4 separate regions of the Mus musculus genome follow, and regions 2, 3 and 4 are each reported to be linked to region 1. Evidence: microRNA targets listed by miRTarBase, many of them from high-throughput screens and not tested one by one. Region 1 holds a microRNA gene; each other region holds the end of a gene's coding sequence.

Region 1 (7,710 bases):
CTCTAAACTCACACAGTCTCCTCAAAACAAATAATCAAAAAATAACCCCCCAAGCAAACAAATAAACAACAACAACAACAACAAAACCAGAAGGGGATGGTACACTTCTCAGTCTCTTTTATAAGGCCAGTGTTGCTCAAATGGCAAACACAGATTTTTCTCAAGTGCTCATTTACAAATGTGCACAGAACATTTCCCATAGGAGATATTCTATAATAAAGGATTATAATTTCCAATATAAATAACTGTGAGATCCAAATATCATTTTGGAAATATCCCCTTTGGCTTCTCCAAAACTGCTTACTATCCCTGGTCTTCGTGTATCATTATCGTCAGGCGGAGATTTTTAATTTTAGTATTGCCTATCAATGGAGCAAACAGAAGGAAGTCACCAAGAGGAAGATTCTTGTCCCTGGTGTGACTAATATCCACGAGCTCAGTTGCTCATTCACCAGCTGCAAGGACTCTGGTTTTCTTTATAAAAACCCACTGTCTGTGCTAGGAAGATAAGAGTGGGGGAAACACCTGCTGGGCAAGCATTAGGACCAGTGTTCTGATCCCCAGCTCCCCAGTAAATGCCAGGTGGGCAAGGGGGCCTGTCTGTAATTCCAGCATTGAAAAATAGAGTCCAGAGAACACTGGCCACTCAGGCTAGCCCTATCTGTGAATACAGAGGATTCCTAACATTAACCTTGAGTCACTGCTTGCCGCATTTACCTGCACACTCTTTTGCCCACACGCATGCAGATGTGTATTCATAAACATATGCATTTACACACACACAAACACAAACACGTGAATGGGAAAAATGATAAAAACAAGACCTTACATGGAGTTTTAAGGCCTAGGCAAGGCATTGTAACCTGACAGGGGATCAACTCTGCCAAGAACGTGGAAGAGATAGATGCTTTTTATTACAATTAAATACAAGTGGCAGGGAGTTTTCAGAACAGAGTGGGGATAAATCTCACTGACTTTAATGGACAAAAATGCTCTAGTATGCGATAGCCCAGATTGGAGCAGGAAGACTAGACAGAGCATATCTGTAGAGTGGCTTTGAGTCAGCTAGACCAGAGTTTATCCGTAAAGATGATGAGGATGGAGTAGGGGGTGTGGGTGGGAGTGGCATTGCACAGCCCGGCCAGAACACACAACTGTAACAACCATCTAAAGGGACAATGTCCAACTACTGGAACATTCCCATAAATAACCCCACTGTGGCATATTTAAACTCTGCTGGTTTTCACTAGGCCGTAGGTCATCCTTCCTCCAGAATGTAGAGCATACTCGCGTCATCACAGTTCACAGTTAGATTTTATCAGCACAGGATTCTTTGTGACTTTGAGCTACCATCTGCCTTCACTAATCCACAGTAAACTCACTTTCTGTAGGGCAAGCTCTGCTGGGACTGTCGGCCAGGTGTCAGGTGCAATCATCAAACCTGGAAGGGCAAAGATCTCATTCTGTATCTGTGTGCTGTTGGTGGCACGTCTGGGGACCACGCCATTCTTGAACCATTTCCCTTTTCCTGTCTCTTACTCTCAGACCACAATGACTGTCACCCATGGCTTGGACACGTGGAACCTGCCCTTGTCCCCACTCTGAATACAAGCCTTCCATAGGATTTACTCTTTGTAATAATAATAATAATAATAATAAAACATCGGTTACCAACTCTCCTAGGGGATTGCATATCCATGGTCCTACATGACACCAGGTTGCCAAGTTATGTGGCTGAGATTATCTACATGTATGTTCCAGGGATGCAGGAGGGATTTCTGTGTCTCTCAATATTCCCACTACACCTCATAAAAGAATGAAAACATCGCAGCTACTTTCTCATATGTCATCAGTCATAAGGAAAGACAGAGGAGAGGAGGCATGGCCAAGGTGTTACCAGTGATTGCTCTAATCCTAATTCTGGGGCTCTGGGACCTGGACACAGACTCTGCACTTATCAGGTTCCTACATTGTTGTAGCCACACCCCCTTTCTACTATAATACCCAATCGTGGAATATCTCTTTAGAATTCTGAAAGTCACACCCAGACACTACACTAGATACATGTGAGATCAGTAGAATTAATGACCTGCATCATGTTTCTTCCTAATGCATTCCTGACTCAAACGCAACCTTCTCTGTGGTACGTGAGATTAAATGGTAACTTTGGGTGTGCGTTTGCACACTAGTGCAAGGGTGGTGTATGTGTAGGTAGACACGCATGTGTAGAGTCTGGAGGACAGCTGTTTCATTCCTTAGGCACTGCACATCTTGGCTTTTGAGACAGGCTCTCTCACTGGCTTGATGTTTGTTCAGTAGGCTAGGCGGGCCGGCCAGTGAGCCTCGGGCTCAGTGAGTTCGTCTCTGTCTCTCCAGGGCTGGGATTACAAACCCAAGTCATCACACAGACACCTTTATGTTAGACCTGGGTTCTGATGATCAAATTAGGGCCACCAGCTCAGCTTTCTCACAGTGCTAAAGAATAATCTTTAAGTATACAAAGGCAGACAAAGACGGGACCATTCACATGCAAGTGCACTATCCTGTAGGATTGAATGGAAGGAACCGCACAGTCCCTACCAACAAGCTGCAGATTTCCTGGCAATTGCACAATGCAAGGTCGAAGGCTTTCCCTTAAAAATGACTTCACACACTTTTGTCCTTACTTTTATAAAAGTACAAGGGTCACTCAAAGGTCCCAGAGAAATACAGCATTTAAACAAGATTAAAAACTGGCTCTCATAGGTTCCTCTAATTTCTCTCAAACGGCTTTAAATGGGCCAGTGGTGAATGAAATTAAGAACACATGGCCACGTGCAGAAGAACTGAATTCTGTCTCCAGTTTGGATCTGGCAAAGCTTTAGCATCAGTGTCAGCGTCAGCGTCAGCATCAGCATCAGCATCAGCATCAGCATCAGCATCATTGGAGTTCTTGCGGTGTTTGTGCCTGTAGCTAAATCCTTGGCAAGGACTGTAAATTTGTTTGTTTGCTTCTTTGTTTGTTCTAGCTTGTAAAAATGGCACATATCTTATCCATGTCACCCACGTGTATCTGCACATATTACGCATTCCTGTACGGTTGTATCCATCGCAGACTTCAGACCTCAGAGCAGGCGTTCTCGGAGAGCCGCAGCAGGAGCTCTTTAGTGTGACCTACTTACAGAGGCAGAGACTTCAGCATGACAATTAGCACTTTCTCCCTGCAGTTTGGTCGGCCGGATTGACAGGGAATTCTGCCTAGCGGCGTTTCCCTTAGCCCTGCTGGGCGCCTGCTGCTCTCTGGAAGCGGCATTCCTTAGGAGTTTGACACAGTAGGGAAAGAGACCGGTTCACTGTGAGACCTGCTACTCACTCTCTTACAGTGCATCGGCCCCCCTTCCCACTGCACAGTGGCTGCCGGGGCTCTGGGTGTCAGGCATGTGGCCTTCGTGGCAGTAAAACATGGAGTCAGAGTTCCAATATTGCACGCTGCATAGTCAGGAGCCTTCTTTTAAAGCCGGCGCTGGATTTTAGGACAGTATCAACACAGCCTAATTTGGCCCCTTAAGGACTAAGGAAACAACAAAGCACTTGGGCTTGGAAGATAGGGATGCGCTTGTTTCTCTGCTTTAAAATAAACTCAGAGGATGTAAAAATAGCTTTGGGGAACAACTGAGCATGCGCAGGCTCATAGGCTCTCATCTCCTCGCGCCTTTTAGTTTCCCACAGAGTGAATCAATTGCTTTGCTAGTTTCCCCGGGTAGGGGAAACATGTGACTTAAATTTTCTCTTTGGGTATTCATCCAGTAAGTACAGCTATGAAATTCACCATCAAAAATAACCAAGCCGGAGGACTGAAAGGAAACATTTCCCGTACCTGCTTGCTGTGTGGTCTGTGGTATTTGCTGACTCCGCTGAGCACTGTACTGGACTGAGGCGAGGGGTCGGTACTGCTGTGAGGTTGAGGTAGGGTACTGACCAGATGGGTAGTAATAGACGGACATCTGTGGGACAAGAGGAGAGAGAAACAGAGATGAGAGCTGTTCACAAGAAACATATTTTTTCACATAAAACCCACTGTTGCGATACAGTGTCATTAACTGTGGCAGATGTTGAAGGTGGGCCATGAGCATCCTTTCTCACACCTGTTTCAATGTGCAGGCTCGTTCTCCCCTGATGGGAGCTATCTCCTGCCTAAAGCCGAGGAACCTGCTTTGATCAATGCAAAGAGGCAAAAGTGATGTGATGTCTGCCATTCCCATACCGGAACTTTAAGGAGATTTGCAACCCCACTGCAGGGGCAGAGGATTTAGTCTCCAGGGAAACACCTATCTATCCTGCTGTGTTAGGAGGACAGAGACTCCCCTCCCCGCTGACTGGCTGACTGGCCCCTCAATCTTCAGATGTTGAGCACAGTCTGGGTCAGGTGCTCCAGTCAGTACCATATGGAACTGAAATGAACTTCTTGGGAGGAGTCGGGCCCATTTAGTGACTGTGTCATGAACAGCAAAAGGCCACTTGATGTCTTGCCAAAGATTCAAAGAGTGATTTATACATAGCCTGTATCAAAATTTGCAGCATATGTAATATAAATGGATCTATGTTAAGATATTGTGTAGGTATCTTCTGCAAACTTATTTTTAGTAGTGGGGACTGAATTTAGGCTTTTGTGCCTGCTGGGTAAGCCCCTTATTAGTCACCAAGCTGTATCCCTAGGCATCGTCTCTCTCTCTCTCTCTCTCTCTCTCTCTCTCTCTCTCTCTCTCTCTCTCTCTGTGTGTGTGTGTGTGTGTGTGTGTGTGTGTGTGTATGTGTATGTATGTGTGTGTATGTATGTGTGTGTGTACATGTTCATGGGTGTGGAGGCCAGAGGTCAACCTTAGGTGTCATTCCTCAGGTGCTATTCATGTTGTTTGCTTGAAACAAGATTCCCATTAACGTGAAACTTACTGATCAGTGAGGTCAGCTGGCAAGAGGAACCCAGGGACTCTACTTCTCTCCACTTGCCCGGCTGGCTCTGAGATTACAAAATGAGCCACTCTGAATGGCTTTTTAATGTGGATGTAGGGGATCGAATGCAGGTAGGTATTCATGCTTGCATGGTAAGCATTTTACTGACTGACCAATCTCCCCAGCCATTCTTGGAGATCCTTTTATTTTGAAGTTTAAGACGGTCTTATGCATAGTTGCCAAGACTTTGACTCATTCTGTAGCTCAGGAAGGTCTTGAATTCACAATTTTCCTACCTCATTTTCCTCAGATGCTGGGGTTACAGGTCTACACCCCTCAGGCCTGCCAGCCTTCTGTCTACTGTTTAATGACTGACAGCCAGTGAAAACACCCTAACCCTTCCCATTGAGATCAGATGCTTCCTGATATAGAAGACATCTTTGCCTACCTATTAATGCTATGTGATGCTAGTTTCTTACTCATTTCAGCTAACTCCTTCTGTCTTCAGGCCTCTGGCTTTTCTCTTCTCATCTTTAAAGGGAGAATAGGTGGCCATCCACTATATACTCCAAAGTATACAAGTTGTGTGTATAGAAGAAGATTGTGAACTAATTATCTTATAGCTCTGATTTTTATGCCTATTTTATCTTTTGATTTGATTATATCATAAGATACTAGTGTTCCCTCTTGCTACTAGAGTGTATAATATGTTCCCATACCTCAGGAAGAAGGTGGAAGCAAAGAAAACATTGTATGGCTGTGGTTTTGCAATGCCATGGAATCAACATGAACTGTATTCTCACTTTCTAGTATGGTAGATGACCGAGGGGAAGGGGCTGGGAGAGCCTAGAACTATTCTGCCTCATTGCTTAGCAATCAGTCATTTACTAATTGCACTCATTATTTGTGGTCATTTAACCTGTCTCTCTGTCTCTGTCTCTCTCATTGTGTGTGTGTGTGTATGTGTGTGTGTGTGCATTTAAAGTGTGATGTTGGGTGTCTTCGTCAGCAGCTCCACTTTACGTTTTAGGATTATTTGTCTTAATCTTCATGTATGAATGTGTTGCCTGCTTGTGTGTATGTACACCCTAACTCTGCTCGTGTCTGCTGTCTGTGGAAATCACATCCCTTGGAGTTGGGATTATGAATAGTGGTGAACCACTGTGTAGGTGCTGGTAGTTGAAACCCAGGTCATCTGTAACCCGTGAGTCATTTCTCTGGTCCCTCCATCTTACTTTTGGCATAGGGTTTCTCACTAAACGTTCAGGTCAACAGCTTTCAGGTCAACAGCTTGTTTAAACTGGGCAGTCAATAAAGTCTAGGGACCTGCTTGATTCTACCCTGGACCTTCCCCAGTTCTGGTGTTACAGATGTGCATAGCCACACCCAGCTTTTACAGGTGCTAGCAGTCCCAGCCCAGATCTTCATGCTGCCTTACCAAGCATGCTATGAGCTGTATCATCTCCTTAGTCTGTTCTCTCCTTTTGATAATCTCAATTCAAAAAAACTAAAAACATAAAGAATTCATGAGCAAATCGATTTAGATCTATTCTGGAAATTTTTCTTGATACAGTTAAAAGTCGCTATTACATATTACATATTACATAGATGCCCTACAATATTAAGAACAAGTACAAGTACCTCCGAACTATCTATTATCATTATATGTGCGCATCTGTTATTCTGGCTTGTACCTTAGGAAAAAGATTATGTGTTATTTCCATATAAGCTTATAAATACAATGCCCATTCCCCTTTTTTCCATTTTTTATTAGGTATTTAGCTCATTTACATTTCCAATGCTATACCAAAAGTCCCCCATACCCACCCACCCCCACTCCCCTACCCGCCCACTCCCCCTTTTTGGCCCTGGCGTTCCCCTGTACTGGGGCATATAAAGTTTGCATGTCCAATGGGCCTCTCTTTCCAGTGATGGCCGACTAGGCCATCTTTTGATATATATGCAGCTAGAGTCAAGAGCTCCGGGGTACTGGTTAGTTCATAATGTTGATCCACCTATAGGGTTGCAGATCCCTTTAGCTCCTTGGGTACTTTCTCTATCTCCTCCATTGGGAGCCCTGTGATCCATCCATTAGCTGACTGTGAGCATCCACTTCTGTGTTTACAATGCCCATTCCTTAAAACTACTTATTATTTCAGTGTATACATAAGTGTGTTTTGTGGGAATGTGGAGATAGATGTGGGACTCTGCATGCCATGGAATGGGTATAGTGGTAAGAAGACAACTTGTGAGAGTCAGTTCTTTCCTTCCAGCATATGGGCCTAATGATCAAATTGGCCTCACCAGCCCGTGCTATCTTTTCTGTAGTCTTCTAGGATAGAATATTAATCAAGAAACACTTCAAAGGTAAAGAATGGAGGGCCAATACTTGAAAAGTTCCTAATGAGCATTCATAATTTGGAAAAAAATGTCAAACTTGATATATGTAGATTTTAGAAGCTACTCGTTTCTGTTTGTTTAATCTTGTTCTTCCCCTTAAATTGTATTTCTTTCTGTGCTTAGCAAAGATTTGGGCAACTTTACCTGGCCCTTCTCCGTGGTGTGCCATTACTTAGTCCTTAGGAATGGTGACATCAGACACTCAGACACTAATGGGCACTTGGCCCATCCCATTCCTCCAGTCCTCTAGGGGAAGGAAAGTGAGCTGAGCCCATGGACATATTTGGGAAACTCAATGCCCCTCCCTCAGGTTGTTCTTAGCCTCACTCAGGTGGATAGTGGTCTCCTTCTAGTGGCATTAGGAAAGCACACACAAGCCAT
Region 2 (7,710 bases), not on the chromosome of region 1:
AGATTTGTGATCTTCTGGCCTTGGCCAACCCAATACTGGAATTATTGGCATAAGCCATGTCTGGCTTTGTTCGCCATTAAATTCTTATATGTAGAGGGTATGAGGGCCTTGTACTTACATATAAGCACTAGGGGAAGCAGTATTGTTAAGCATGCAATGTTGTCTCTTCAAAGGAAGAGATGAAAAGCCTATTTTCTGCCAAAAATCTGGGAATGATGACCTCTGCCCTCACAATCTATGTGGTTACATCACACCTGACTGGCTGTCCCCTCCCTCCACCCTGACTTTTATTTTTAATCTCTGACTTTCTCCTGAGATCCTTATCTTGAGCATTGTTTCTCAGTCAATAGAACCCATCTTCATGGAAGATGTCATTGTACTTTGAAAAGAGTTTCAATGTCATAATGTTATTTAAGCTTTGTTGTAGACATAGGATTGAGTTAATTACAATCAGAGAACTCTTTTCCCTAAATTGTGCTATAGTTAAGTATCCCTAAAATAAACTGCTCAGGGTCAGACCCTAGAAGTTTCAACTAACACCAGTTACTGAATTTGGTAGATCCAGACTTCCTTCTTTCCTCATGCAGTTGGAAATTCTGCTGCCCATGGTTTGCAGAGACACCCCCCCCCCGACACACACACAATTATATGTCATTAGTACTCCATGCTGCTTTTGTCTGATTCATTGTCGTGTGCTGCTTTTGTCTCTGTGTCCCATCATGCAGAGTCTGTGCATCTTCTTCTACTTCCCTATCTGCCCAGGGTCAGGCAGGGCTCTCTCTCCTCTGTGTGTCTCTTTCTTACATCTGTTGCTCTCAACCTGGATCTTGGAGAAACATTTTGCTAAACTTATGACAAATCCAAAGAGGGCTTGTCAGTGAGGTTGGGGTCTTCATGGTTTCTGGATGGAGAAATGAAGCTAAAGGTTCAGTGACTCTCCCCAGAAGAGGGTCAGAATGCTGACCACAGAGGTGACATACCCTATAGGTGAGCCTCACTCAGTCCACAGAGAAGGCCAAGATGCAGCGTTAGCCCTTCCTCCTTTATGCATCTCCTAGACCTGAGCTCTATACTCTCCACTGTCTAATTGGTTATTCTAGGAAGTGACCCTCTGAATGGCACAGGGCCAGAGGCTGTGGGGAAGCTGCAGGAAGGACCTAGGTTGAAATTGTGTGGGAAGAATTTTCTACTCCATGGTTTGGATGTCCATTGCACCAACCTTCAACCCCCTTTCTCCACAGTGTCTCCACATCCAGTGTTACTATTTCAGTCATCTGTGGACTTCTCAGCAAGAGCCTGGTTTTCATCATCTTATTCATTGTCACAAAGAGGACATTTGGATGACAGAACTTGAAGCTATACAATAGTGACCTTCAGCGGTGTCTATTTCACAGGAGGAGCTGAGGTGGTGGGGCTGAGGAGGAGCTATGACATGAATTGAACCTGTAATCACCGGTGACGTCTAAGGCTCAGGATATCCTCAGCTGACCCTGTCCACTCTCCTCATTTTATCCATCATCTTGGGGATGTGCTCTGCACCCTTAGAAAAGGGGAAACCATTCCCAGAACACTCTGGCCATTCCCCCTAAATAGTTGGGTTGGCCTGAAATAAAGAGAAACTCCAGAGCTTCCCCCTGTCTCTTGTTGTGGGAGTCAAGAAGATTACATGGTCACCACTGATATCCCCACCTCTTGTCCTTCTCCTGGATGGTACAATTCTAGTCATTTTAGCAGGGCCCTTGCTCATGAAGCAGCCTGTCCTCCTACCTCTGGGCCTTCCTTTCTGGGAGTCAGACACTCAGATTTCTGTCTTCATCTGTAGTCCTCTGAACACTCCCAACCATGGACCAAGAAGACATGATCCTACCTTGACAATAATGCAACTGGGAGAGAGAAATCAAGTTAAGCTGGATGCTGTTGCCTGGGAAACACCTGGAAGAGATAGTATCCGTAGCATTGAATCAGTACATGGATGGCATCAACATGCTGTGTGCATTTTATTATTGACTTCTCAGTGCATGAGGGTTAAAGTGTATGTGATCAGAGTAAGGCCACAGGGGTAGCAGGCCATCACCTCCTGGCAGGAATGAAATCTAGAGAGTTCCCTTACTCAAGAGCTCCAGAGGCAGGGAGATGGGGAGCCAGACTCTGCTGCTAGCTGAATGCCTTTTTGCCTGGACTGAGACAGGGTCTAGCATGGCGGGGGGGGGGGGGGCAGGATCCTATCTCAGACTGCCCCCTGTGTGAGTCTACCTCCCACTCACCTTCCTTCACCTCTCAGTCTCAGCCTGGGTACCCTGTGGCTCCTGTGCTTTCTCTAGGACACACTGGCATTTGCTTGTTTCCACCTCTTTGGGTGGGAAAAGGATGGTAGATCCATTCCTTCTACTTCAGCAGTGGCTGGAATCAACTTCATCGAAAGGTTCCCAAGATCAAACCGCATCACCACAAAGCATCCAGCTCACTTGATCGCACCCAGAAGGCCGAGGAGTGGCTGAACCACGTATCTTATATCAGGAAAGCACTTTCCTGTCAGGGAGACTTTCCCTTCCACCTCCTGTGAAGATCCCAGGTCTTAAGGTGTGCTTCTGTCACATAAGGACGGTTCACTGTGAACGTGGCTCTCTGTGTAACTCCACCCTGGGGTGGCATCGCTGAGCACAGGGTATTCACAGCTGCATAATCTCCAGTCTGCTGGGAGAGGCCGCAGTGGAATCCACTTTGGGTTGGTGCTCTGGGACACGTCTTTGGAGGGCTGGTGCAGATGCTGTTCATCTCAGTAGGTTTGTTTCCTGACTGAAGAATCAAGCAGGGGTTTATAGTCAGGGGCTAAAATGCTTCCCAAGAAAGCCTGGGGACCAGAGTTCAAGCCATTAGAGCAAAATGTAAAAAAGCTGCTTAGGGCGGGCCATACCTATAATCTCGGCACTGGGAAAGCCAAGACAGCCAGTTCTCTGGGGCTTAGTGACTAGTTAGAGACCCTCTTGTGGTCAGTGAGAGACCTTGTTTCAGATACAACAACAACAACAAAAAAACAATAACAACACACACACACACGTTGTATGATAACTGTCATATTTCTTAGGTTATTCAATTTGCAGTAGTCCAGAAACCACCCTGGAGGAGAGCCTCAGTTGATGAATTGTCCCCTGCAGGCATGCCTGTGCTGTATTGCCTTCGCTGTTAATTGAGGTGGGAGTATCCACCCTGTATATGGCTGGTGCCACTTCATACACTGGGTCCCAACTGTGTATAAAAATAAGGAAGCCTAGTTGATCAGAAGCAGGCAGACCCCAAGGGTCCAGTTTATCCTCTGCTCTTGACTATGGATATGATGTGACTAGTGCTTAAGTTCCTGCCTCGACTTCTCCACAATAAGGGACTGTGACCTGTGTTGTTGTTGTTGTTGTTGTTGTTGTTGTTGTTGTTGTATTTGGGGGGTGGGGTCAGGGTGCCTTCCCAGGGCATCAGAGTAAAACTGGAACAATGACACATGTCTGTGATCCCAGCACTTGGGGGACTAAGGCAAGGGGCCTGAGGATTCAAGGACAGTTTGGACTTTGTTGTGAAATCCCATCCCAAACTGAAAAATAAATAAAATAAAAGCAGTTGAGATTCTGTGACTGTGGTGAGTGTTCTAGTGTCGTGCAGTGTCCGTGTCCTGAGGTAGCTGGTCTAGTTGGATTCTCAGGCCAGAATCACCGAGGCCGCTTGTTAAAACGCAGATTCCCAGTCCTTCTGCAGGCCTGTGAATTCAGGGCCTCTGAGGGTAGAACCCAGCTGTGACTGTGCATGCCTAGCTTCCTGAGTGATCCAGCTATGAGGTCTCACTGAGAACTATGGGTACAATGAGATGAAAGATGAGTCAAAGGCTGAGGAGAGGCCTCTGTTGGTAAAGTGCCTGTCACAGCAGCACAAGGACCTGATTCCCAGAAGCCACATACAAAACACCAGATGTGTGGTGTACGTACATCATCCAGCCCTCGGGAGTCAGAGACAGGCAGCCTAGCCTTCTTGGTGAGGCTCATGCCAATGAGAGATGCTGTGTCAGAAAAACAAAGTGAATGATGTCTAATAATGACATCTGCTTGTCTCCTGCTTTTGGGAGGTGAGCAAATCCGAATGTTCAGCCTCCTTGGCTTGGGGAGGACGGTGTGAGGGGTCGTGGATATGACAATGTTCTGGTATCCAGAGGCAGTGAGTGGAACAGTGTAGGGACCTCAGGTGTGGCAGAGAACGGCAGCCAGCCACAGAGCGTTTCTCAACAGATTGTGGCATCAAAGGAGGAAGGAGGGTGTCACAAAAAATGGGGTTCTCTCCTTTTCCCCCTCCTGTGTCTCCCAAGGCAGCTTCCTCTTGTCACATTTCCCTTGGTGTTTCTCAATGGGACAAAACAGCGGAACCTGTGAGAGCAGAAGTCGGTCAGTTTCTATGTGGGGAAGCATGCTCCAGCAACTGTAAGTGATTTGGCCACTTGCCTTGGGGCCATTGGCAGTTAGCACACCAGGAAGGAGCTTCATACAGAGGAGGCAGGGACCTGGGGGATGTCACCGCTGCTGCTATGGCTGGGGCTGATGCTCTGTGTCTCGGGTAAGGAGAGGCAGGTGAGGAAGCTAGAGGACAGGGTGTCAACAAGAGGGATGAAGCTCGCCGGGGGGGGGGGGGTAGCTGCTAAAAGTGTACTTATGTTCCTCAAGACAGCCTGGGTGGAGACCAGGGTATATGTTAGAGATGGGTCAGTATTGAGAAAGAGATGGACAGAGACATTGGTGATCCCTCCTGATGCAGCAGAGAGTGGGCTGTGAAACAAGTTGGAGGTTCTTCTTGGACATATTGAAGTAGAGAAAGTTATGTGGTGGTAACCAGGCAACCCTCTTGCGATGTGTTGATTCTCACCTAGAGGTAAAACCAGGGAGGCAAATCTCCCTTAAAGGAACAATCAACCACGGAGCAACATAAAGGGCAGGTAAAGAAATATATCCTCCAAATTAACCAACAGGTTGATGGAAATCTCATGGTTCAGTATTTCACACACAGTAAATACATCATAAAATATGTCATGGTGGTAGTAGTGTAACCTACTACCCACCCATGGCAAGAAAGACAGACCAAGAAGGATAAAAAGATTAATGCAGTTGGCACTGTCTGGTGGATGCCCCCCTTAGACAGATGGACAGGGGTTGAAGGGGGTTTCTACTTAAGGATACAAGGAATAAACAGAAAGTTCTGTGTGCCAGGCAGGAACGGCCATGTCTGGGCCACCAGACATACAACAGAAAACAATAGAGAACTGGGAATAGTGGGACATGCCTGTCATCCTAGCAGTCGGGAGGCTGAGGCAGGATTGTGGGGAATCTGAAGCAGTCTACGCTATATGTTGAGTTCAGATCAGCCTGGGTTGCAAAGTGAGATCTTGGAATGAAGGAAAGAGGGAGGGAGGGAGGGAGGGAGGAAGGGAGGGAGGGAGGGAGGGACAGAGACACATAGAGACACACAGCTGAGAGAGGTAGGGGAGAGGTACAAGAGAAAGATAGAGAGGCAGATAGATGGGAGAGAGAGAGAGAGAGAGAGAGAGAGAGAGAGAGAGAGAGAGAGAAGGAGAGAGATGGAGAAACAAAGAGTGGGGAGAGAGAAAGACAAAGAGATACACAGAGACAGAAATAGATAAACAGAGACAGACAGAGAGGTGGGAAAGGAAGAAAGGAAAGAAGGAAGGAAGGAAGGAAGGAAGGAAGGAAGAAAGAAAGAAAGAAAGAAAGAAAGAAAGAAAGAAAGAAAGAAAGAAAGAAAGAAAGAAAGAGACACACAGAGAGATGCACATGGAGAGACACAGAGGCAGAAAAGTGTGAGAGAGAGAGAGAGAGAGAGAGAGAGAGAGAGAGAAAGGCAGGAAGGCAGATGGTGGATGGCTGCCTGCACATACACACATGTTTCTAGAATTAGAAATGGTGATGCAATCTGGTAAAGCTCTTTTGTAATCATTCAATATAAAAATTTCCCACTCTACAAGATGCAGACTGAGTCTTCCCTGCAAACACACAGCTTAGATCCAATCACCTGTTCTGGATATTTTGCCTGGTTTACTTAACTGATATAGACACACATAGAGCAATCAAGAGCTCTGGAATAGTTACAGCGCTCCTAGATTCCCCTGCCATGCTTGCTGGGGTCATGAGTGTCCCAGCAATGTGTGGCTGGAGCAGAAGGCAAGTTGGCTCCATGAAACACGTATCTCCTATTCCAGGACTCCAAGCTGGAGATGAGGAAGAACACAAGTGTTTTCTGGAGGGCGAGAACCTGACCCTGACTTGTCCTTACAACATCATGCTATACTCACTGAGCCTGAAGGCCTGGCAGCGGGTCAGAAGCCACGGTTCTCCAGAGACTCTGGTGCTCACAAACACCAGAAAGGCAGACTTCAACGTGGCCAGGGCTGGGAAGTACTTGCTGGAGGATTATCCCACCGAATCTGTCGTCAAGGTCACGGTGACTGGGCTGCAGAGGCAAGATGTGGGGCTGTACCAGTGTGTGGTCTACCTCTCTCCTGACAATGTTATCATTCTGCGTCAACGGATACGGCTGGCATGGTGTCAAGGTGAGCTCCGGTGAACGTTCAGATGGAGTCTCTTCCTGCTCAATAGTGGGGCAGGGACCCTATCTTCCAGGAGGAGCTGTTTTAAGGAGGCAGCTCAGGGTAATGGGGGGGGGGGGATTCTAGATCTTTCCTTCTTCCATAGTGTGACACCAGGAAAGTCACATTCTCTGTGCCTTATTTTTTTTATTTATTTATTTATTTATTTATTTATTGTCTGTAAGACAAGGACGTTGGATGTGGTGAACTCAAAAGCCATCTACTTCCACGTCAGGAAATCTGCAAGAGAAGCTGGTAACTGTCACGAGCCACGCCTGCGGCTGATTATTTGTCCCACTGCCTCTCTGTGTCAGGAGGACTCAGGATTGCGGTCATTCACTGTGTTCCCCTGCAGATCATCGAGCTGTTAGGACCCCCACAGGCCCACCCCTCTCAAAAGTCCCTGGTACAATTGTGAAATGGCCTAGTTTGAACAATAGGATACCTGCTTATTAAGATTTTAGGTTTTTTTAAATTTGCCAAAGATAACATATATATATATGACATCATATTACATAATAAGACAAAAGAAAAACTATCTCTGAGTTGGACATGGCAACCCAACAGGAGGAAGAGAGTCCCAAGAGCAGGCACAAGAGTCAGAGAGCCACCTGCTCCCTTTCATGGATTTGACTTGTGGTTTATAATGAAGACATGGAGACCTCTACATCGTTGAAAACTGTTGGCCTTCTGCTGGGCAGTCTCTCAGCTAGCTCTCTAACTTAGCCTTGGCTTTTCCGACATCTTGCCTCCCTGTGTGGTTCTCAGTGCCTGCTTACATCTCCATTCTGTCTTCGTTCTGTTTCTCCTGAATCTGCTCCATCGCTTTACAGCTCCTGCAACTCTTCTCTCTGCCCTGAAGTCCCGCCCCCACACTTCCTGCCCCAGATCCAGCTGCCAGCTCTCGATTATATGGAACCATATTCCAGTCTGAACCAATCAGCGGCAAGACAAAGCCCGTTCACATCTTAGGTTGCCTGTAGGCATTGAGGGCTACCTGACCTTCATCTTTTGGGCTAGTGAGGAAGGACAAGCATTTACATACAGACAACCAGTAATGTGCTATAGAAATAACAGTA
Region 3 (7,710 bases), not on the chromosome of region 1:
GAACACAGAAAAGACGCTCTGTAAAGCAACCCAGCTTCCTCTCCGAGACAGTTTTTTCATCTTTTGACTCTTAAGTTTGGAGAGTTCGGTTTGAAGACAGGACAGGTGACTACAAAATGCAGTTGCTTATCAACTAGTTACCTGTCAACACCTGTACTATTCATCCAGCTACAGTATCCTGGGATTTCTATAACATGTAATGAATTTGGACACTGCCATGAATTTATTGGCTATTTGAATTTCCTCTTTCAAAACGGCACAGAACCAAAGCGTTTTCGCACATTTTCAATGAGGTTTTTTTTATTTTTTTAATCTTTGAGATGCTGGATCCTTAACATATTTAACTATGAGCTACAATGGTCTCTTTTTTTTATTGTCATTTCACTTATATGGACTTTCTGATGCATATGAATTCTTAAATTTACTATAACCTTTCTCTGATACCCATTTCACTTTAAAATGTTTGCCTATCCAAGATGACAAAAAAAAAAAAAGTTTGATATTCTCAACTAGAAGCTTCAAGCCGCCTTTCCATTTAAATAGTTTGTCTATCAAACTATAGCCCCTGGATAAATGCTACTCCGAATCTTGTGGTTTTGGACAAAGAGTATTTTATTATAGTTTTGTCTTTTGGTTGTTTGGGGTTTTTTTGTTTTGTTTTGTTTTGTTTTTTGTTTTTGTGGTTTTTGCAACTGAGTTTATGTAGTCCATGCTGATTGGAACTTGTGGCAATCATCCTGTTACTGCCTCTAAGCGCTGAGATTTACAAGTAAGCACCACCAGTCTGGCTTACTTTAAAAAATGAAACTGAATCTTCTGTAATTTTCACTGTGAAATACAATTTTTAAAAAATCAGAGTCCATATGTAAAACTTTATTGGACACATCCACACACATTTGCCTACAAATCATCTATAGCTCCTTCCACATTACAGTCATCGGTGGCTGAGTAGTTGCAGCGGAAATGATATTGAACACAGTTTAAAATACAACTTTTCCCTTGCAGAAAAAAAAAATGCTGATCTGTGGGATAAGGTATAGATTTTAACTATATAAATTATTTTCCCCAAACCACAAGAAAACACTTCACACCACTAGGGCAAAAAAAATAAATTAATATTGGTAAGGACATGAAGAAGTCAAAGTAGTCATACATCAGTCAAACGTAAAGTGAACATCATTTCCTCAAAAAAGCAAACAAAGATCCAGCAATTCCACTCCTAAGCATCTACCCAAGAGTACTGAAAATTTATTGGCACATGAGTTTGTATGTTTTTAGGACAGCACTATTCTTAGTAGCCAAAAAAAAGGAAGCTGAAATGTCCATCAACCAATAAGCAAGATAAGGTTTTAATCATATGGCAAAATATTTTTCAGCCACAAAAAGGACCTTGAACATACAACATGAACCTTTAGAACATTATGCTAAATGAAATGAAGTTACAAAGGGCCACATGTCTTATTTTTCCATTGATCTGCAATGTAAAGAATTGGCAAATGCACAGTGAAAAGAGACTGGTGATTGACAGAGTCAGAGGAATGGGAGGATGCTAATATGTACAAAGGGCTTTTCTATGGATAATGAAAAATTTCCTCACAACCACCCATAATGAAATCTGATGCCCTCTTCTGGTGTGTCTGAAGATAGCTACAGTGTACTTGTGTTTAATAATAAATAAATCTAAAAGAAAGAAAGAAAGAAAGGAAGGAAGAAAGAAAGAAAGAAAGAAAGAAAGAAAGAAAGAAAGAAAGAAAGAGAGAGAAAGAAAGATGTCCTGAAATTACAGAATGGAAGTGACTCAACTTGTGAGAATATCATGAACCACTGAATAGTCCCTTTAATTTTAAAAACTTGAACACTAGTCTATTTTATCAGAAATGACCATTAATGCTGAATACCTATGGTTATTAAAGCATAGATACAAGTATAAACTTATTTACTTGGTTTTTTTTTTTTTTTTTTTTTTTTTTTTTGGCTAGGACTTCATTGTTCATATTCTGAAACCATTATCTTCAGAATCATAGATTAGATGTTTTCCTGTAAATGGGTTTACCCTTGCACAAAGCTTTGTTCTCCATACCTGTCTCTGCAATGAAGCCATTTCTTTAACTGTGTGTGACTCATGAAGACGTTCCATCTCTGACTTGTTCCTCCCTGTAACTCACATGGTGGAAGGTTTCTCATCCCTAAATCCTAACCTCTTGTTGCATGACATCATACCCCTTACATATCACACATGTAATTGCCTTTCATTGGGAAAGGAAATGAATGATCAAGCTTTTTAAAACTGTAATCATATTTATCCAACATAGACACCCCATCCCCTTTCTCAGCTTTACTTTTCTCTCAGGCATCAACCACCATCTGATACATGCTGTGCAATTATTCTTCTCCCCTGCTGAACTGCAAACACCTTGTTCTGCCTTCTGCTACAGTACCAACTCTTACTGCACGTACTCCATACAGTTGCTGAAATAAGAAAGACATGAAGTTGATGAGCAGTCTGCAGGCAGGCATACTTGAGCACTGATAACTTGAAAATCAAAAGGATATAGGTTAATGTTAACTAGTTAAGACACTGAGCATAATTTTAAATGTTCCCCATCTCCATGTTGGAGGTAAAATCTGCTCTGGCACTGACACATTCTTGGGCTCCAGACATGCTTGATGAGGCTGAAATATGCCTCCTTCTTGGCCAACCAAGCAGACGGGGATGGGATTAAAGTTACAAGAAAGTTACTCTATCTTTTCTGAGATTTCTTTCCACAAATGGCTACTTACAGAACTTATTTTATTATTATTTCTTATTGTTTGGGTCAGGGTCTCACTATGTAGCCCCTAGCGGTCCTGGAATTCACTTTGTAAACCAGGCTGGCCTCAAACTCAGAGATCCACCTGCTTCTGCCTCCTGAGTTCTGGCATTAAAGGTGTATGCCACCATGCCCATGAACATTCATAGTATTTAAATCTCTAAACGAGTAATAAAATTCAAGGCTGTTAAAGTGGTGAACTCACAGAGGCCAACAGAGGCAAAATAAGTCTTCTTTTCCTTTAAAAAAAAATTGTTGCTATGGAGTGGAAAGGGTTGGTTTACTTAACTTGCTTGGTAAAAGAACACACTTCTGTCAGGAGTCTAAAAAGAACTATCAAGTGAAGTTTATCACCTACAGATAATATAACAAATTACCACAAAAAAAAAAAAAAAAAACCCAAAAACAAAAACAAACAAACAAACAAAAAAAACGTGGCTTAAAACCGCACATCAGGTATTCAACAGACTGTAAGGACAGGAATAGTTCCTTCTGGGGAGACTCGGGGGGAAGGATGCACTTTCTTGCCTCTCTGGCTTTCAGAAGCCACTCATATGTGGATTCTCCAGCCTTAAAGCCAGGAACAGTAAGTTAAGCACTGTTCAAAGTCAGGAAAAGTAAAATAATGTTCAGTCTTTGAAATACTCTATATTCACTTTCTCCATCTGATTCCAGCCCAAGTTTTCTCTACCTATTTAAGGGCTGTGTGATTACAGGATACTTGTCCTGATATTCCATTATACTCTTCTGTCTGTTCCCCAGTCAGGCCTACGACTGAAAATTGCCCAGGTTGCACTGGAAGTCATCTGGAACTCTCCCAACTCAAATCTCACCTTTCCCCCTTTAGTCAAAAGTGTCCACCTTCTATACAGCCGTCATTTTCGCTACACCAGTTTTCCCTGCTCATCTGAGAAAACTAGGTTTAGAAAAGAGCAAGGGGAAACAGTTCACCCTCACACAAATCCCATGTGAACTTACTACAATTTCAGAGTTGACACCTCTTCCTTGCGGTGCTTCCCTCAGGTTTCTTGTTCCAGAATCTGAAATGCAGTATCAAGAAGCAGGGACACTACTAACACTAATGGTACATGCATGTTTTACTTGAGAATAACAGACACCAAAGTGCTGCACCCTTGAGTGATATAGACAGTCCACTAGGTATTTGCTAATGCCTTATTCATACACATAACATGAGGACCTGAACTCTACACAAATTAGTATCCGAAATAATCAACAACAGTGAAGGCAGGTGACAACTGAAATACAGTTCAATATTGTTCATTATAGAGACAATCTGTAAGCTACAAATGATTGTGTGGTGTGTGTGTGTGTGTGTGTGTGTGTGTGTGTGTGTGTATACCAATCACAGTACTCAATAATATTCTGAGATAATAACTGTTCCAAGGACTATTTTTGTAGGATATCTGACAATATCTTTGGCCTCTACTCACTAGGCACCAGTCCCTTCCCATCATACGGGTGCTAGGAACCAAACCCAGGTCCTCTGGAAGAATAACAAGTGCTGTCTACCACTCTCTCTCTATCCCCATCATATGATAACCATCTTGCTGTCAAGGGCATGCATACAGAAGACTGAGATGTCTAACTTCCTTATGAATCTACTCAACAGTCTTAATCATCTCAAAACAGGCTTATGATTCTCTCTTCACAGGAACCAAAAGGTAGAAGACAGGATCAAGTCAAAATTTCCAGGAGGAATCAGAGGCCTTTCAAGCTCTCAACCAAACTGTCGAGCTTTCAGTCAGCTAACACTGCACTGGGAAAGGACATGGTAAGATTATTCCAGATTTTTCTTTAACTTTCTCTTCCCTATCCTTAGACTCCTACGCCTCTCCCTCCACAATGCCATAATCTTTATATCCAAAATTCCAAAAGAAATGATTCTAGGCTTCGGGACGCTCTGATTCCAGAGAAGCATCTGTCAGTATACACCTGGAGTTGCTTATGGCTTCCTGTAGCCATGATCTAGCCTTTGTAGGTTGTCTGACAGTATCTTTGGCCTCTATCCACTGGCAAAGATCTAAGAGACTCCAAATTTGTTTCCTTTTAGCTTCACTTTTATATACGTTACCAAATTATTATATAAAACTGTATAAATAAAAAGGAAAAAGAACACAATTGTAGTCTCCTAAGAAGCCACTTAATTCTATCTTCCACTGCTAACCTACAACCAAATACGACCATAATTATAGTAACAATAAATCTACTTTTACGCCTTCTTTTACAATGATCTGAGTATTTTTAGGATGGCAATGAAACCTTTGGATTTTGCTTCAAAGGACCTGAACTCTACACAAACTAGTATCTGAAATAATTAACAACAGTGAAGGCAGGTGATAACTGAAATACAATTCAATATTTTCTTGTTCAACGCCTAAAGCAATGGATCCTATTTCTTAGAAGCAGCCCTTTCCACCACGGAGAGTATTTTAGTCTTAAGAGGGTCAACTTCATTTCAATCACAAGCAAGTCCTATATCCAGTTTCACCTCACTAAATGCGTCATCTGTGTTCTGGCGGGACCATAAAACAGAAGTGCATTCAAACAGAAAACCCTAGCTACAGCCTGTGGTAGTTTGTAGAGCACTGTGTAAGACGTCCCACCACTACGCCTTTATGGAAACAGGAAAGTACAAACTGACAAAAGTGTCACTCCCAAATAACACTTCCAAGCTTTGACTCTATAATAAACATTTGCTTGCATACAATAAGGTGATACTGTTCAAGATGTCTGGTTACCTACTGAATGACTTCACAGGTTCTTTCCAGTTTCAGTATCCTGATGTAAAGGTAAATGAGTGTCTCTAGGAAAATGCCTTCCTCGCTGACGGTGCTTTATTTCAGTGTATGCGCTACGTGTTTGGTATAGGCTGAATCATCCCTGAAGCCTTTCCTACATTGACTACCTTTCAGTCCTCTCTTCAGGAGTTCCCTAATAACAGTGTTAATGCAATTATAGAATATCTCGTACTTAATTTTTTTATATATATAAAGAATTCTTTTCTGCGAGCAAGGGAAGTCACATCTGAAAACAAATCCTTTGTTCACTCAAGGACAGCATGGCCCATGTCCATTATGTTTCCGTGGGCTGCTCTTCAAGGTGTGTTCTCTGATGTCGGGCAAGACACCAGCTCCTTCTAAATATTTTCCCACAGTGAGGACACTGGCTGGGACCCTCTCTGTTATGAAGTCTCTGATGTACTACCAGGTGAGTGTTCTGTCTGAAGGACTTTCCACACTTCAGACACTGGTATGGAGTCTCCTTAGTGTGAATTCTCTGATGCTTGGTCAGACAGGAGCTATCCCTAAAAGCTTTACCACACTGATTGCACTCATAAGGCCTTTCACCAGTATGAATTCTCTGGTGCCGGATAAGTCCAGCAATGTTCCTGAAGAGTTTACGACACTGGTTACAACCGTACGGCTTCTCACCAGTGTGGACCCTCTGATGCCTGATGAGATATGCACTCTCAATGAAAGTTTTCCCACACTCTTTACATTCATAGGGCTTCTCCCCAGAATGAATTTTCTGATGCACAATGAGGTGAGAGTTGCGACTGAAGGATTTCCCACACTCTACACATTCAAAAGGCTTCTCTCCAGTGTGTGTCCTCTCATGCTGAGTGAGGTATGAGCCATCTCGGAAAGCCTTTCCACATCTGCTACACTCATAGGGCTTCTCTCCAGTGTGGATTCTGAGATGCACAGTAAGGTGAGAAATGTCAGTGAAGGGCTTCCCACATTCATTACATCTATATGGTTTTTCCCCTGTATGAGTTCTTTGATGCAAAATCAGGGATGAATTTCTGTTGAACGTTTTTCCGCAATCTAGACATGCATAAGGCTTCTCACCTGTGTGAATCCTCTGGTGTTGTGTCAGTGCTGACCCATCACTGAAAGCTTTCCCACACTTACTGCATTTATAGGGTTTCTCTCCTGTATGAATCCTTCGATGTACAATCAAGTTGTAGTTCTTGGAGAATGATTTTCCGCAATCATTACAGGTATACGGTTTCTCTCCAGTGTGAGTCCGATGGTGTAAAACCAGAGAGGAGTTCCGTTTGAAGCACTTGCCACATTCGGCACATTTATACGGTTTCTCAGCAGAATGACTTCTTTTTTCATTAAGAGATGAGCTCAGGGCTAAGATGTCCCCAAAGTCCTTACCTTTATAAAATCTCTTGCTTCTTTTCTTAATTTTTTTATCACAAAGGGCAGTGGTAAAGTGGTTTAAGGATTTAACACTTTCTGTGTATTTATAGGATTTCTCTCTCATTTGGTTTCTTACAAGTTGAGTGGCTTCCATGGAAGGTTGGGTGGCTTTCTCACAAGCATCGCCGTCAGCAGTTCCCTTAACTGCATAACTTGGAGGGCAACTATGTAAGGTTTGGTCACAATCAAAAGTTTTAATATCTGAGTTAAAAACATGGAAGCCGTTTGTCCCAGGAACTCTCTGAGAGGGTAGAAGGGCTGGATTTGTACTCAAATGCTCCCCCAAATTAACATGGCCACAATTTGCTTCCTGTGCCTCTGTTTTCTCATCAATTAAAGGAGATTGCCTCAAATTTCTTTCCTGGTTCTCACAGTCCCAATTATCACCTAAAATGGGGAAGCAGGGAGCCTCTCTTGTAAATCCCTCCATTTCTACCTCAAAGGAAATACTTTCTTCTTCAGGAACATTCTGAGCTTTTATTTTCAGTCTCGTGTTCCATACTGAAAAGGAAAAAACAAAAAAGACATTAAGTAAACATAGATATATCTGGAAGAAAATGAAAACTGATAATGGGGTGAATATATTTCACTCGTTTTCTTTTTCAAACTGATATCTGTAAAATAGAGAGTTCAAATGAGGGTCAAGGGCTAAAGCCAAGAACAGATTC
Region 4 (7,710 bases), not on the chromosome of region 1:
GTTGAGCAAGCCTTTTCCTCTCCGTTTGTGTTTCCTGGCAGGGCTTTTCTTGCCTTATTGACAGTTTGTAAAAATATGCATTAATTTGGAGCTTCAAGCATGTATCATGGTGTCTCTTTGCTGTGTTTGCTTGAAGTTGATTAATGATAGAGCCTCGCTTGGGGTCGTCCTCTGGAGGGTTCTTTCACAGGTTCTGCATGTTAACTAGCAAAACAGAACACACAGCAAGCCATGATTAGCCCAGCCTCCTGTACTCAGTGGTCCCCACGAACCACTGCCGTATTACAGATTCTCATTTCACATAATTATTTGCAGGGTGGCATTCGTCCACCCAGGATGTCACTACGGGGCCTGTTATTTGGTACTCCAAAGGACGGTCCTGGGACCAGCCCCATCACCTGGAATCTCTTAGAAATGCACAGTCTGAGCTCCATACACTGTACTGTCACAAGGGCCTTGGGTAACTTGTGTGTCCTGAAAAGCAAGAGAAATGATTTCCATAGAGAGTTTATTCTAAAGCAGCATCCAAGACTCTTACCAATGCAGCTAATACACCGAGCAGTACAGAAGCCCCTGGCCTCATATGGCCCCTAACCCCTTGGGCTGCAGGCAGTGAAAATGTCCAGCAGTCATAGGAAGTTTCCCACCGTCTTTGAAAAACTTGGTTTTGGCTGTGGTTGTGGCCAAGGTTACCCTGCCTCCACTGGGCGGCATCTCTGTAGCACCTCTTGTAGGTTGCTCCAACACCAGCGTCAGGGCAATCCGGGTGTTCCCCTAAGCCTGTTTCTCTCTCTTTCTCTGTAGGCACCCCATACACGTCAAAGAAGAACCCCTCGACCCCGAGGAAGCTGAAGGCCCTCTGTCCTTAGTGACAACAGCCAACCACAGTCCAGATTTTGACCATGACAGAGATTACGAAGACGAACCAGTAAATGAGGACATGGAGTGAACCTCTGGGCGGGCCGACCCCCGAGACCGAAGATTGGGGAAAAAAAAGCAAAACAAATTTAAAAAAAAAATAAAAAAAGAAAGAAAGGAAAAGAAAAGAAACCACGTCAAAAGTTAGCAGTGAAACCCGCCCTCCGTTTCTTGTACAGTCTGGAGGATTTTCGCTACATTTTGACAACTCTGAAACGTGTTAACTCTTAGTGCCATCAAGAATCCCATTTGGGAGTATTTTTGATTTTTCTACTTTTTGTTGACAAAAGGGATTTGTACTCTGTGCATTGGATGGACCTGTTTGGTACTTGGGATTTTCCTCTTTGAGTCAACATCAGTGTTGTAAATTCGATAAACGGATTCACTTTTAGCAGCAGACTTTGAACTGCAGCTTCGCCCGGCTGATGCTGGGCGGGCGCCGAGGACACCCGACTGAGCTCACGTACCTGCGCTGCAGACCAAGCCTTCGCCCGAGTTCAAGACTCCAGTGGACGACCTTTTTGCACAGCGCTGCATGTTGATACCACTGCCTTTACTCACTTTGGTTTGTTTTGTTTTTGTTTTTCGCTTCCAGTTGGGATGGGGGAAGGCCTTTGTGTGTGTATTGGGGGGAGGGGTTAAAAATAATTATCCCAAATTTTTTAATGTATTGCTTTTTTTTTTTTCTTTTACTGTTTTTTTTTCTTTCTTTCTTTTTTTTTTTGGCTTCTTTACCATTTTAAGTTCTGACCTCAGGCCTCCATTTGGGCCCAGGGCCTCTTGGAGGCTTCGCGTTTTCTGTACCTTGTGATGAATGTTAATAGGCGTTTTTATTATACAGAGCTGAATGTCATTTCTCGTCTGTAGTTTTCTGGCACTCATTCCATTTTCCTATAGACATCACCATGTTTCTCTCAAGTTTAAAACAAAACAAAACAAAACATTCCGTTTTGGTCTTTTTCCAAAAAAAAAAAAAGAGAAAAGAAAAGAAAAAAAAAGATCCCAAAGGCTGCACCTTACACCTGAAGGTCCCCACACGGGGACATGACATCCTGCCAGTAAGAGAATGAATGACAGAAAAGGAAAGAGAGAAACGCACGCGCGCACACTCTAGGGACATGGCAGATTCATTTCACAAAAACAGTATTGGGGGTGGGATGGGGGACTGTTGGAGGTTTTTCTTTTTTTTCTTTTTCATAGCACCCACCATTGTGAGTAACTGCCACCACATTCTCTCAGCATCAGGAAACACAGCCACGAAAGAAACAGAAGAGAATAAACAATCCTCAATAGTTAGACTGTCACAGTGGCCATGGAAGATCTTCCCTCCTATAATCAGGTGACCAGGACCACAGGCCCTGTGCCATCCTCACCCGCACAGGTTGCTCTGTTTGCAAAATGACCAAAAAGCCAGCATGGTGACAGGGCTAAGTTTGTACAGTAGTTCAGACCTGCTCGGTGGCATTCATCTGTTTTAATGCAAATGAGACTTCACATTGAACTTGTTATGGGAGTTAATGAGGACTGAGCTCAGCAGACGCTAATGTGTCAGGTTCCAGTGTGCTAAGTCGGTACTGCAGCTTGGTCTGCAATGTGAGCACCACACCCACCACCCCAGTAGCACAGACTTCACGGAAGAGGACACCAGGTAGACAGACCAGGGCCCACAGAATGAGATGGCTCTAGGTCAATATGCCCTCGGCCCTTCAAACCCCTCCACATTTCCGTCTGCACCCGCTTCCCTGGCATGTATTTATCTGGGGCTGTAGCTTTTGTTTGGGTTTAGTTTGAGAGCCTTTCGGAGCTTAATTTATATACTTTGTACCTTTTTTTATTTCTAAAATTACCAAAGATATTACGCAAAGGTAAATTATTTTCTTTTATACTTTATCTGATGAAGCCAAATATCCTCTTATTGTTGATCAAAGGAGGCGAAAGGATTCAGAGGCAAATGATGAGGTCCAGGCTATTTGCCAACCTGAGGGAAATTACTGCCCGTCAGCAGAGTTCATTTAGCAGACTATGTAGGCAATGGAACCAAAGTTTTTTACTTTTTTTTTCCTGTTTTTTTTTTTTTTCTCTTTCCTTCTTTTCTCTACCTGTAGAGAGACCAAAACTAACTCCTATAAGGAGAAAATCCGGGGCTACTGCAGAGAAAAGAAATCAAGACAACAGTATTATAGCTCCTGTGGAAAGAATGGGCTAGCATCTCAAAGAAAAAGAAATGAATGTATGATGCTGAAAATTAGTATATAATCGAGGAGACACTTAGGATGAATTCAGAGAGAACGGAGAAGTGTCTGGCCGCTCGAGGCCACTTCTAGAATAAAGAGATTTTTAGAACATTCGTACGCCACTTTTGTTTAAGGGCTGTGCTCTGATCACTGCGTTAATCTTGGTTTATCCTGGCATTTATCCTCTGGTTTCCTTCTGCTTTTTGTTGATGTTTTGTTTTATTTTTTTCCTATTTCAGATTATGATTTGGTCAGTGTTTTTCATTTACACACAAAAAAAGCTAACATTCCCACCCACTCATAAGCTTAGAGTAGAACACCTTTGGCAATGACTTCTGAAGGTTTGCTCTGCTTTCTATAGAGGGGCGGTCTGTGGTTATTCATGCCCCCTCCACCACCACCCCACCCATCTTTTCCAGGCAGCTTCACAGTGTGCAGGCAGTAGCCAGGCCGGGTCATGGGAAGGGGGCCCTGTGCTTCTAAACTGAGTGGTTGCTGGTTAGATATACAAAAGAGGATAAAACTCTGGTAGGTTAGTTCATTCTCAGCATGTGTAGCTAGACAAGAGTAAAGATAACAGCATGGGGACTGTTAGTACGCACACCTCAGTTCAAACCTTTAGGGAATGAGTTTAAAAAAAAAATTAAAAATATACCTTTCACTCAGTCGTACTTAGTCGTATGTCTTGCATGCTTAGTCTAAAGACTGTAGCAAAGAAAATAAATAAAAGAGAAAAAATTAGATTTTATGTATCTTTTCAGGTGTCATAGCCTGGCAGAAGAACCAACTGAAAAAAAAAAAAAAAGTTCTCAGGCTTTACAGCAAGCAATCTTCACTCTGATTTTTAGAATTCTGATTCTGTCCCTCGGGGGGTTCCCGCTTCGTTTGAATGGGGTTGATTCGGTTGTACATATATCCCGATGTGTCTGTGTGCATCTTTGTCTTTTGCGGGGGAGGGCCGAGGGGAGGGTTTTTTTGGTTTCGTTTTGTTTTGTTTTGTTTTAATTATTTTATTTTTTAGGTATTGTTCCTAAAAAGGAATAAATGCATACACCTGTTTGTCAAAACATCTTTGCTTTTTGTGCAACTGCATTTTATTAATAATACATTTAAAAAAAGAAGAGGAAGAAGGAAAAGAAAATAGTATCTTTGAGGGAAAAAAGTCTACTGTCTGTAATGGCTTTGCAGTTAATGCTGCGTGTGTACTTCATTTTATTGCCCTTGATTTACAAACATTGGATGACATGTTGATAATGGGAAGAAAGAAAAACTCCACACACACATCTCTTTCTTTCCCTCCCCCTCCTCTCTCTCTCAAATTGTAACATAGTTGACAAAATGTGTTTCCTATCCTCATTATTTGGAACATTTTGTACAGGTTTGTGGAATGGGGGTGAGAGAGTGAGTGTGTGAGTGAGTGTGTGTTACTGTTTTTGATACATTCCTAGTCCTTGTGTTTTATCATACCACTGCCTCCTTGACTATCTTAAGTTCCTAAGTTTGAAAAAAGGAAAAAAAAAAAGTTGTTTAAAAAAAAAAATGTTCTCTCTTGCTGCAGTCAATATTTTTGCATGATGAAATTCCAGGCTCATACTTTCAAAGTTTTATGAGTAAAGTAGTGATTAATAATGGGGAGTGTTGAAATATTGAACTTTTTGTATAAAAAAAATTTTTTTACAAGGTCCCAAGGTGTAAAGACAATTTGTTACCTTTTTCTTTCTCTTCTTAGTAAATATTAGCAAACGTGAGGGAGGTCAGCCTGTGTCAGACACACACAGTCACTGATGAGGACCCACCCTCCATGAGCTTAGGGGTCTATTCATGTGAGAAGGCTTACAGCCATCTCAGGGTGAACAGCCTAGGCTTACCTGCATGGTGACCTAGCTGACAATCCCCTCCCCACATCAAAAGACAGTTGAGTTCATATTCCTAGCATCTCATCAGCCATAATAAGAGAAAGCCTTGGTTTAAAAAAATAAAACAAAATGATAGAGCCAAAAGCATTATAAATCACTAGCTCTTTTTATTTATTTATTTTTTTCAGTTACAATATTGAAGTCTCTCCTCTCTTTTCCACATTCTAGCTGAGCTCTCTGTCTCCAAGGGCATAAAGCAAACTCTGCTATTTGAATCTTGTTGGTACCTGTTGGCCAGTGCCATACCCTCCTGACAGTCTGGAAGTGTTTTGCAACTTGGTTTTCCTTTATTATCATGAGAAGCAAATGGACAATTCTAACGGCGTCTTGTGGGTCCACTGTAACTCGAAGCGGTCCCTGCTACCCAGGAGCCTGGGTGGAGACGGTGCGGTCTGGGTTGTGAGTGTGGTGCTCTTTGTATCTGTGCTGCCGCTAACAGGGATCGTTTTGTTTTGTTTTGATAAGACATAAAAGAATCTCATTCCTTGATATCAACTGTAATTCCACCATTCCATGTCTGTGGACACAGACAATAAAAAAAAATGTTGTGTAGTCAGTAGTAATTACTGACATGAGCGCATTCTTAAATGCAATAAAAGTGCTGGTGGTTCACACTGGTAGACAAAGTTGCCACAGACTAAGTTTTTTCCCCACTTCTGACCTGCTGAGGCTCTGGGTCAGGCACACACCCCAAGCTGCCTCTTAGCAGCTTTTCCAAGCCAGATTCACAACCAGCCCTCACTAAGGTCGTCGGCGAGCAGGCCAGAGGAAAGGTCCCAAGGAAAGGCGGAGGGGCCAGCTCCTTCAGAGGGAACATACTGTCTTCTTCATCAAATTTGATAAAGAGAAAAAAAAAGTTTAATAACTAACATGAAGAGCCAAACTAAAATTTCAGAGGAAAGCAATTTCATGAATAATTCATTGACATTTCACATCTGCAAGATCAGTCATCCAAATAAAATGCTAACGTCAAAACCACGCACCATCTACAGCATTCTCATCAAGAAAGCTCTTTGCATATAATGATAAATGCTTAGATTAGAACAAATGATTATATAAAAATGTCCTATCAAAAGTGTGCTAGGTTAACCACACAGAAGACAGCAGTGCCGAATGGAGAACCCCAGGTCCCAGGAAACCACCTGTAGAGATGATTTTTTTTTCATTCTATACCTTTAGAAAAATGTGCCTTTTCTCTTGGGCTTAATTACATCATACATATTCTAAGGACTAATGAACTTAGCCACATTTGTTTTTCAACACAAATTTAACTTGTAGTATATTGAAAGAAACACTGTAAAGCCTCATGCGGTGGCACATGCCTTTAAGCCCAGCACTTGGAAGGCAGAGGCAGGCTGATCTCTGTGAGTTCAAGGCCAGCCTGGTCTACATACTGAGTTCAGCCAAGTGACATAGCCTGTGTCTCAAAACAACCACCAAATGAACCTTTTAAGTGGCCAAACCACAGCATCTTAGCCCTGTGTCTGTAATTCCAAGCACATCCATAAAGCTTTCAGATAACAGCCTTACAAACACCTTTTCCACATCACTGTACCTGCCCGGTTAAGGGAAGCATTAGAAGGTTGGTTCCTGCATGGTTTGTGAGTCTACATTTTACATTTTCTACAACAGTATGGTTTTTATTTAGGGTTGATTTTATTTTTCATTTTGAGAAACAGGGTCTCACCATGTAGCCCTGGCTGGTTTAGAATTCCCCCTAGGAAAATCAAGAAGCCCGCCTTATTAAAATTACAACAATCCTCCTGCCTCAGCCTCCCATGTGTTAGGATTATAGATAGGTGCTGCCATGCCCGGTTCCTCTTGATGTCATTTGAAACAAGTAGATGTTGTTGCTGAGCTAAGAACCATCACCCTCTTCTCCATGATGGCTCCGCCCATCTGAGAGCTCCCTAGGCGGATAATTAGCAAAACACTGGGGCCTTTAATTCTCACCTGGCGACTAAGAATATACTATCACGGTTAACTGAGATGCTCTTAATTGCTGGACTTAAATGTAGGTGCTGCTTGCAGGACATACTGTGAGCTAGCTGTGCACACACATTCCTACCAGAACACCCCAGGACCTATGCAAGTATGAGGGTGTGTAGTGAAGGCCCAGCTAGCTGATACCATATTTTAAATTGCATTTCAGGAATCTTTCTGTAGCAAGAATACTCCTTAAACTTTCATTTCAGGCTTGCTCCTCACATAAAGCAGCTAACCCAAAACACAGCTTCTTCTATTAAACAGGGATATATATATATAGTCTAAGCTCTATATAAAACACCAGCAGCACTGGCATACACATGAATCTCTCAGCAAAATGGATGAACAATGCAATGAGCCTTTCTGATTGGTTGTCTTCTTTGGTAATGCCACATATTTATATAGAATGAGTAATCACAATTTTGCTTTTCAATTTAGTTACAAGTATTCCATACTCAAAGTTGGGCCTCAAAACTTCATTTAAGGTGCTAGACAGATAAAGTTTTAAGACAGAATAGTTCACATCACAGAGAAGTTAAATGCAAAGCTGTTGGGATAACTGTGGGATAATATGTGTATTAGAAAACCATTCTACAACACTTACATTGTATATATACATATATGTGTATATATAATAAAACAGCTCTATGCTGTTT

Evidence for each region. Region 1 holds the annotated microRNA mmu-miR-128-3p (UCACAGUGAACCGGUCUCUUU, at 3,318-3,338, opposite strand). A microRNA usually pairs through its seed, bases 2 to 8, with sites in the 3' UTR of a target mRNA and lowers its output. Matches are read on the target gene's strand: a 7mer-m8 pairs with bases 2 to 8, a 7mer-A1 pairs with bases 2 to 7 and ends in A, and an 8mer does both.
Region 2: the mRNA of Trem1 is a reported target of mmu-miR-128-3p. Seed matches in the 3' UTR shown: 8mer at 2,608-2,615 and 7mer-A1 at 3,382-3,388.
Region 3: the mRNA of Zfp329 is a reported target of mmu-miR-128-3p. Seed matches in the 3' UTR shown: 7mer-A1 at 4,174-4,180 and 7mer-m8 at 1,500-1,506.
Region 4: the mRNA of Foxp1 is a reported target of mmu-miR-128-3p. The part of its 3' UTR that is shown has no 7-base or 8-base seed match.

The regions. Positions count from the first base shown.
Region 1 is chr9:112,115,327-112,123,036 of GRCm38, forward strand. It overlaps Mir128-2 (microRNA 128-2), which reads right to left and starts at 3,385; the gene lies at 3,310-3,385. Arpp21 (cyclic AMP-regulated phosphoprotein, 21) reads right to left here. Exons shown (of 21, transcript NM_001362020.1): 19 at 3,857-3,983.
Region 2 is chr17:48,243,305-48,251,014 of GRCm38, forward strand. It overlaps Trem1 (triggering receptor expressed on myeloid cells 1), which reads left to right. Exons shown (of 4, transcript NM_021406.5): 4 at 1,242-3,620. The coding sequence ends at 1,344. Trem3 (triggering receptor expressed on myeloid cells 3) reads left to right here and starts at 4,425. Exons shown (of 4, transcript NM_021407.3): 1 at 4,425-4,590; 2 at 6,245-6,595. The coding sequence starts at 4,545. The region is part of intron 1 of Gm52308 (a long non-coding RNA gene); the gene reads right to left. Gm52307 (a long non-coding RNA gene) reads right to left here and starts at 6,754. Exons shown (of 3, transcript XR_003952372.1): 1 at 6,338-6,754; 2 at 3,972-4,403; 3 at 2,722-2,796.
Region 3 is chr7:12,804,124-12,811,833 of GRCm38, forward strand. Zfp329 (zinc finger protein 329) reads right to left here. Exons shown (of 2, transcript NM_026046.3): 2 at 1-7,543. The coding sequence starts at 7,472. The coding sequence ends at 5,904. It also overlaps a transcript of Zscan18 not described here. Among named protein-coding and RNA genes, the nearest start is that of Zfp329, 11 kb to the right of the region's middle.
Region 4 is chr6:98,923,329-98,931,038 of GRCm38, reverse strand. Foxp1 (forkhead box P1) reads left to right here. Exons shown (of 19, transcript NM_053202.2): 19 at 805-5,697. The coding sequence ends at 949. Among named protein-coding and RNA genes, the nearest start is that of Gm38865, 200 kb to the left of the region's middle.